Tribolium castaneum: one gene and its partner. The protein of the gene in region 1 purifies or fractionates together with the protein of each later gene. This does not show direct contact. Links are inferred from orthologs where the notes say so. Each region holds a gene or a part of one and is shown in the gene's direction. Other genes may lie near its edges. The genes, in order: Sec31 and yata.

Region 1 (3,827 bases):
GTGATTTTTCAGCTTGTTTTATGGATATCTCGTCAATCTTGTCATTAAATTTTTCACAGAATTTGTAACTTTTTTCTTACGGTTCTAGCGAAATTTCGTTGAATTCCCAGTCCACAATGAGTTTACACACTCGAAATAACAAAAATACTCGTAACACAATTTTAACGTTTAATTAATTCATTGATTTCTTGGCTTATTTTGGCAAGGATGCTGAAAATTAGTAGAAAAACTTAGCCTTTAGTAATTAGTTTAGGATAAAATAGACAACATTCAATACTGCTTATAAACAAATATGCACTAACTTTCAAAAAGTGTAAGGAAATTTCTCCAATATTGAAAAAAAAACAATATTTGGTTTAAAATCATTTTCAAACAAATTAGATTATTTATCGGCCTATTTTTTACGAAATAGTAATTACATTTTTGCTATGAGCTGTACTAAAATGCTCGAAAAAGTCTAAGTAATGTCATTTATGATTTACATCCTAGTGTAATTTATTAATTTCAGTAAATTACAATTTGGTGATTTTTTGCTCGGTTTTTAAAAGACTCTCATTAAATTGTTACCTAAAAAAAAGTGCTTACATGAAGTATAAAAAATAACACAATCATTTTAAAATACTCTTAGAGATTTCGTGTCATATTTTTGACGAAATTCTTCGAAATTTTTGGAAAACAAGAAGTTTTAGTGTCAAAAATGTCAATTTTTAAATTTTAATACATGTCACATTTGCTATAGTTTTGCCAACTTTATTTCAAAGTTTTAGAAAAAACTTCGAAAAAAGTAAGAATGAAAGAAATATTAAAAAAAGAAGAGATTTTGTCTTGGATTCACAAAAACTAATATTGTAAATTGTACCGATATGCCAAGTTAAAAAAATCTGACTTCTTTACAATACAATTTTTTAATTCAAATTTTGTTAAATATTTTTGCGCTATAAATCTTTCAGTAAGTGGTACAATATACTCATTAAAATACACTCATCTTATGGCATCTGCTTGCACATTAACTTCTCGAAATTTTAAAAACTGCATACTACTAAACATACCTGTTAAGCACTGGAAAAGTACACAACAAGCACTAATCACTGAAGGTAGTCCTATATTTCGGAAATTTTACTCAAGGAAATGTTGATTTTTGTTTTAGTAATAAATAACAATAATTTTATGTGGGGTCCGTTTGCGACAATTGCAAGTGACAAACTAAAGAAAATTAAACGAAATTAATTTTGACGGACCATCATCATATGATGGCCGATTAATTTACTTTTGTGCAACCGGGCATATGTATTTCATCTTTCGAAAAACTCGAAAAATATGTAATACATAATAAAAGAACACAAAAATAATATTTTTACTGCGTCGAAGATGGTATTTAGGACAAGAAAGAAAGTAAAAATTTTAAATTTGTCATGACGTTTCGATACTTTATTGTATCATCTTCAGGCGAGCACGCAAGGACGTTAACACAAAATGTCAAAAAATAATTACACAATATCCTGTAGGGGCAGTTTTGTTCAAAATTGCAAGAATTAATTCAAAAGGTTTTTCGAATAAGTAATAAAATAACACTTTGGGAGAGATTGTCAAAAATTCGAAGCCTACGATATTAAATTTGTAAAATGACTAGACAAATTCAAATTCGACAGAAAAATGCTCGATTTTTTCGAAATTTGAAATTAGGGATGGCCCAATCCTAGTTTAAGTATTTTACTAAAGTAACATATTTTTCTAATATCGTCAATTTAAATTTAAAAAACTCTTTCAGGTGGTTCTGGCACGGGCTTGCCTTCGCGTAAATACGTTCTGGACCCCTCTGTAACCTCCAACCCCTACGGAGCGCCTACGAGGAACATGTACGCCCCCCAACCTGTCTCCAACTTCCAGAACAATAACTATGGGGCCCCATCACCAATAACACCCTTGGTTCCTTCCAATAATAATTACGTACCCAATCCTGTACCAATGGTACCCAATCCACCACTCAATCCCACTCCTTTGGTACCAAATATCCAACCACCGCCGCCTATGACGAGCGAGATGGGCCAACCTGCCACAGAAAAATACTTTCCTTCTAGTGCCCCCGGCTGGAACGATCCACCTCCACTAAACAAACCATTGAGACCACAGGTAATAATAGTTAAGAATTTTTCAATTCAAGTCTATAATTTTTCTCTTGAAAGTGTTACGGTGATAATGTTGAAATGTCAGCAGTGCATGCTGGGACGAAATTATGGAAACCAAAGGTATTGTGTTGGGTGGCCAAAAATGTGTGATTTGATTGTTTTTTTTGCGCTTTTTATACCGCAGTTTTTTGACGGTAAAGAAGCTTTCGTTCTACAGGGCTATTCCTATTTATGTAACAATATTTGAATGACAGGATAATCTCTCGAAAACATGCAAAAAACATTAGTTTAAACCTAATTATTGGTAATTCATAATTAAACTTCACAGATTCTCAATAGAGACACTTATTCACAAAAGAGCAAGACGTAGGTATTTACTAACTTGTCTTATTATAATAGTTTTTTAAATTACATTTAACTGCACTGTCTATTTGCACTATGTTATAATGAAGACAGTTACTTTTAACTCAGTTATGATTAAATTTTGGTAAAATGAAATTACTACAAGGGCTCCCACTGCTGCCAGTGTTGCCAAGTGTATCACATGCATATTCTCAAACGAGCTGACGAAAAATTACCATAATTTTCTACGTTAAAAGAGAAATTGATATAAAAAATATATAAATGTAAAAAAACAGTTTTCTTTAGAATTTTTTCAGATTATTCTTTTGCATTGTCTTTGTACTCTTTTCTAAATTTTTCTGATTCATTTCTAAAACCGTCTGTAGGTCTAAAATCTAGACTCATCTTCCAAATTGTTTTATAAATCTCTTTTTAGAGTTATTTATAGATTCTTGTCTAAATTTTTTTTTTTGGAATTATTTTGTAGTCTGTACTCAAAACTCGTTTAAAAAAACTATAAAATAATAAAATTTAAAATAAAATAAAACACTATAAACAATTATAATAACTATTTACACTTTTTCTACATTTTTCAAATTTTGTTTTAGATTCTACTCTTCGTCTATTCAAAATTATTTTATAATTTCGTTTAGAATTTTTGTCATTGATCTGGAGATTCATTAATTCTTTTTTATTAGCTGTTCAAAATAAAATAAAATAAATACATAAAATAAAAACGCCAATGTTTCATTTTCTTTCAAAATTAGCTGTTATATATTAATTATGCATTTCAAATAAATAATAGCTGATGTATTTTATAATTTTTAAGTAGATTTAAAAAACTATCATTAAAAATCATTTTACAATCATTAAAAACTTTTTTACAGTTTTATCAATCTTATTTAATAAAATAATACGGAAATAGAATTTTTATTGTTTTGAAACAGCTAATAGTAGTCTTTATATCTGAAATTTAGACTTCTTTAGAATACACTATTTTATATTTTTTTCCTTTTACCCAAAGATAATTTACACTGATTTTGTTTTCTGTTTATTAATTACTCACATATGTCACATAATTATGTCTATCACGTAATTTTTTTTTATATACTCATCATAAGTTTTGAAAGTTGGTTCTTGATGTCTAGTTTGGCATTCATTATTTCTTTGATGAACTGATGGTTAAACATTTTATTTGCTTTTAAATGTATTCCATCTACGTTTAAACTCTTATAAAGAGAGGTATCAAGGTGTTTGGAATAAAAATACAGTTTACGGTGAACGACTACCGTATTTCACTGTTTTTATCTAAACCTAAATTTATTTATTTTCACAAAGCACCAACGAATTTGAAATATT
Region 2 (4,485 bases), on another chromosome or scaffold:
GTTTATGTTTTTCAAAAAAAGACGAAAACAAAAATCTGAAACATTAAAAAAATTAAACCCCTTCTATTCTTTTTTTTTTAATTAAAATTAGGATATTTTTGCCGCTCTTAAAATACTACCGCCCTGCTTGGTCTATCTAAATATGCCACAGCCTAGTATGTTAACACTGAGTTGTTAAAAAAGCTGGAAAAAAAATTGACAAAGTTACATTGAACCATCCGTTAGGAGAATGGATTTGCGAATGATGAATAGTTTTTATTAAAAAAAAATACACACTAATAAAACTCTCTGGAAGTCGACTCATTAATTCATTAATTGGTTAATAAAGATTAATTTGAAAATATTTCTCCAATTGTGGATGGAAATAAAGTGAGGTTTGGGCATAATTACTATATTTCTATAATTAGATGCACGAAACTCAGTGGCTATATAAAAAAATTATATAAAATCGGTTACCCCGTGGCGTTACGTCATAAAGATTCGGATTATTCCAACCGTGGCCTTTTTCGCAATGGTTCTTCGTTTTCTTGTACGTGGTCCCGTTTTTTTGTTGTGTTCTACAAAACAGAAATTACGCAATTTGAATACTCCAAGTCCAGAATTACGTGCTTTTTTGTCCCAGTGTGTCTGCATGTATTTCAACACGATACTAGTTTTCTCAGTAACTATTACTAAAAGCAAAAAGGAGCAATAAATTGAGCTTTTTTCGAGGGTAAAACATACTTTGTTCAGATGGAAAATCTTTAGTCGGTACATACACCGAAGGTCGTTTTAAAGGGGACCTACTGTTGTTATCAACATGGAATTTGGTAAAATTGTTCTCATCGTAGGATGGGAGACCTTTAAGAAACTCAGCGACAGACTAAAAGTGCAAAAACTCAACGATTTAGCTTTTTACCCAAATCTGTACCCACTTACCATTTTGCCAGATGTAACACCTGCAAACTTGAGTTATACTTCAAACTTAAGCCTAATACCTTAAATTTACTCAGACTATTTAGAGCATCTTAGCTTTACTAATTCTAAGCCCTTAAAGCAATTAATTGCACAAGAGGCAAATGGAACATCCCGATAGAAGTTTACACTATTGTAACTTTACTAGTGGGCAATTGTTTATGGAAGCAACAAACAAAAAGCTCAATGAAATGCAGCTGAAGCTTTTTACGTTGCAGTAAAAAGCTTGAGAACATGAACAGTTAAGAACACCTTTGTGCGACTATCACCATATTTTGATTTTTTTACTTTGACAAGTAAATGACGGTTGTCTGTTCGCGAGAATCGGCGTCCGAGCGAATTCCCCAAGAACGATCTACATCAAATTATCTTGATCAGAACGAGTTCTAGTATTTTTTAACACTTACAGCCATCTATGTGGTTGTAATTAGTAATTGACATTAAATAGTTTATTATTAATTTTTTCGGTTGTAAAGACGTTCTCAAAGTTGTTCCATTAGCAAAACTAGTTTCCTCTTTTACCGGCCATTATGTACGACGTCAAAATTTGTGACATTTAGGTTAGATTTTTAAAACTTTGTACAAATTTCGTATAATTCAGCATAAATCCAGCATATAATCGCTAAGCTAGTGTCATGTGGTCATTTTTCTCCCGCGATCCTTCCAAAGACTTCAACTTTGAAGTCGGAGAGTTAGTCAAGGGGCTTGACGAACGGAGTGTATGGACTTTACATAAGGGCAAAAGAAAGGTATTGCAATCAAGATCTCTCGAATTTATTTAACTGTGACGAGTTCCTCGTGTTTAAGGGCACAAATGAGGAAGTTTCAGTGTTTGTTTTTGATATAAAGGGTGGATCAGAAACACAGTTAGAAATTGCCAAAGCGGCAGTTAAACGGCTAAAAACATTGAGACACCCTAGTATTTTAACTTATTTAGATAGTTACGAATCGGATAAGGTTTTGTATTTAGCGACAGAACACGTTGAACCGTTGGCTAGTCACTTAGAGAAGTTGACGATAGAAGGGGCTCAAAAGGATTTGTATATTGCCTGGGGGCTGTTCCAAATCACGGTATTGCTGTTGTGATGATTGCGTTGATAAATCTTTTAAAACAGCAATTTGTAGCGAGCTTTGTCTTTCTTAAATAATGACGGTAATTTGAGACACAACAATGTTAACATTTGGTCAGTTTTTGTCAATTCTTCCGGTGAGTGGAAGCTGGGAGGTGTTGAATATGTCTCAAGTGCTCAAGACAACTCCAATGTTACTATTAAAATCATACCATCGTTGGAAATGTACGACCCTCCTGAAAAAAATGACCCAACTAAACAGCGGTCAATTACGAAATGGTTTGTTTGATTATTTTTATTATTCTACGTTTTATTTGAACGTGTTGTAGTTCTGCCGATATGTGGGGGCTGGGTTGTCTAATATGGGAAGTTTTCAATGGTCCTTTATATCAACAGTCTTCTTTGAAACTCCTAGACAAGATTCCTAAACAGTTGGGTCCATTATATTGCGAGTTAGTTGGAGCGAATCCGTCATCAAGGCCTAATCCTGCCGATATTATAACTAGATGCCGAAAGCTCGGCGGCTACTTTAAAAACGATCTTGTAGACACTTTACTATTTTTAGAAGAGATTCAAATTAAGGACAAAAACGAGAAAAACCGATTTTTCTCAAACCTAACACCACACTTAGACAACTTCCCCGAAAGCGTGTGTAAGCACAAGATTTTGCCCCAGTTGATAACAGCCTTTGACTACGGGGACGCCGGATCTGCAGTTCTAGCCCCCATGTTTAAGGTATTTTTCTCCACTTTTTGTCCCCAAAACCCCAATTATTGTATCACAGTTGGGCCAACTCCTTGACGAAGCCGAATACCAGAAAAAAATCGTGCCCTGCGTGGTCAAACTATTCGTAAGCAACGACAGAGCAACAAGGTCCCGACTTTTGCAACAACTTGAACACTTCATCGGTCATTTGCAAGCTGCGACCGTAAACGAACAAATTTTCCCTCAAATTGCTCACGGGTTTATGGATACCAACCCCACAATTCGCGAACAGACTGTCAAAGTAACTTTTTTTCGTGATTTTGTTTTTTGTTAATGTTTAAACTTGCAGTCTGTGATACATCTAGCACCTAAATTAAGTTACAACAATTTAAACGTGGAGGTTTTGCGGCATTTTGCGCGGCTCCAGTCGAAGGACGATCAAGGGGGCATTCGCACCAACACTACGGTGTGTCTGGGGAAGATAGCACAACATTTGCATCCGCAAATTAGGCAAAAAGTCCTCATTTCGGCGTTTATACGAGCGATGAGGGATCCCTTTCCTCCGGCACGTAACGCAGGCATTTTGGCCTTGGCTGCGACGCAACAGTATTATCTTTTGAACGAAGTTTCGTCGAGAATTTTGCCGGCATTGTGTCAGTTAACGATGGATCCGGAAAAGTCGGTCCGGGATTCGGTTTTTAGGACGATTAAAGGGTTTTTGGGGAAGTTGGAGAAGGTGTCAGAGGATCCCAGCTTGAGGGAGAGTATGGGTAGGTTTTTTATTTATTTATTTTATGGAATAATGACGGGGTTGTGGTTTAGAGGCCGATGTCAATACTGCAACCCCGAGTCTAAGCAACGCAGCCGCCACGTGGGCTGGGTGGGCTGTTACAGCAGTTACAGCGAAATTCTACAGAAGTCAATCAGATACAGTCAAATCAATGAATCCTATGGCCAGTAAAATGTTAACTAAACCGGCTTCACTAGGTAAGTATTTACGCATAATTTGCGGTCATAAATAAAATAGCAAAAATAGTTTGCGGTATAGATTTTTCAGCGGTAGATTGGACTTTTTAAATATGTATCCCAAAAAACTTTAAAAGTACTCTTTCAAAACTACGGAAATGCCTACGTCCCATTTTACCGATTTTTTTTTAATAAAGTTGATAAAAAAGTTATTATTAATGATTAGATCTCTGTCATTCAAACTAAATTGAAACTATATAAATTAATTTTTTTTTAATTTTTCTGAAGTATTCGTTACAATTAAAAATTTAAAATTATAATTAAAAATGCTAGAAAAAAATTTTGGTCGTTGATTCATAAAGCAAATAAAATGCTCAAGAAGTTAAAAAATGTTTTTAAAAGTTTATAACTGAAATTTTGGGAAACGTTTGAAGTTAAGACACCAATAACTTTATTTAGAATTATCTTATTTTAGGCAAAAGTTATTTTCGAAGACAACATTTAGGTATAATATTTAATATCTTGGAGAAACCAACTGGAGTATCACTTACGCTCTTATTATCTTTGATAAATATTTTTGTGTTTATTTACTTTTAAGAAAAAAACTTTTTTTTAATTGAGTCAATTTTATGACACAAATTTTGCTTAAGCTTGGGGCTATACATACCCTTGATCCGCCTCTAAGTGCTGAGTTGCGGAGAGTTAATTTCTTGTTTTTGATTAATTGAAATTACTCTGACTCTGCAGTTGCTGAAAATACCAGCGGTAGCAAAAATAGAGTAAAAAATAT

The links.
Region 2: the proteins of Sec31 (region 1) and yata purify together in Homo sapiens (affinity purification with mass spectrometry; 3 studies listed by BioGRID and IntAct, counting the BioPlex papers as one, with this or other methods). This does not show direct contact. The link is inferred for Tribolium castaneum from reciprocal best matches to the Homo sapiens genes SEC31A and SCYL1.

What each region holds. Positions count from the first base shown.
Region 1 is NC_087399.1:9,888,534-9,892,360, forward strand, and holds part of Sec31 (protein transport protein Sec31A), read left to right. Parts: intron 1-1,768; coding exon 1,769-2,130; intron 2,131-2,183; coding exon 2,184-2,246; intron 2,247-3,827. UniProt on the Homo sapiens protein: Component of the coat protein complex II (COPII) which promotes the formation of transport vesicles from the endoplasmic reticulum (ER).
Region 2 is NC_087396.1:14,146,177-14,150,661, reverse strand, and holds the start of yata (N-terminal kinase-like protein), read left to right. Parts: upstream 1-1,452; 5' UTR 1,453-1,589; coding exon 1,590-1,703; intron 1,704-1,761; coding exon 1,762-2,025; intron 2,026-2,079; coding exon 2,080-2,303; intron 2,304-2,353; coding exon 2,354-2,759; intron 2,760-2,808; coding exon 2,809-3,030; intron 3,031-3,078; coding exon 3,079-3,499; intron 3,500-3,551; coding exon 3,552-3,716; intron 3,717-4,485. UniProt on the Homo sapiens protein: Regulates COPI-mediated retrograde protein traffic at the interface between the Golgi apparatus and the endoplasmic reticulum. Involved in the maintenance of the Golgi apparatus morphology.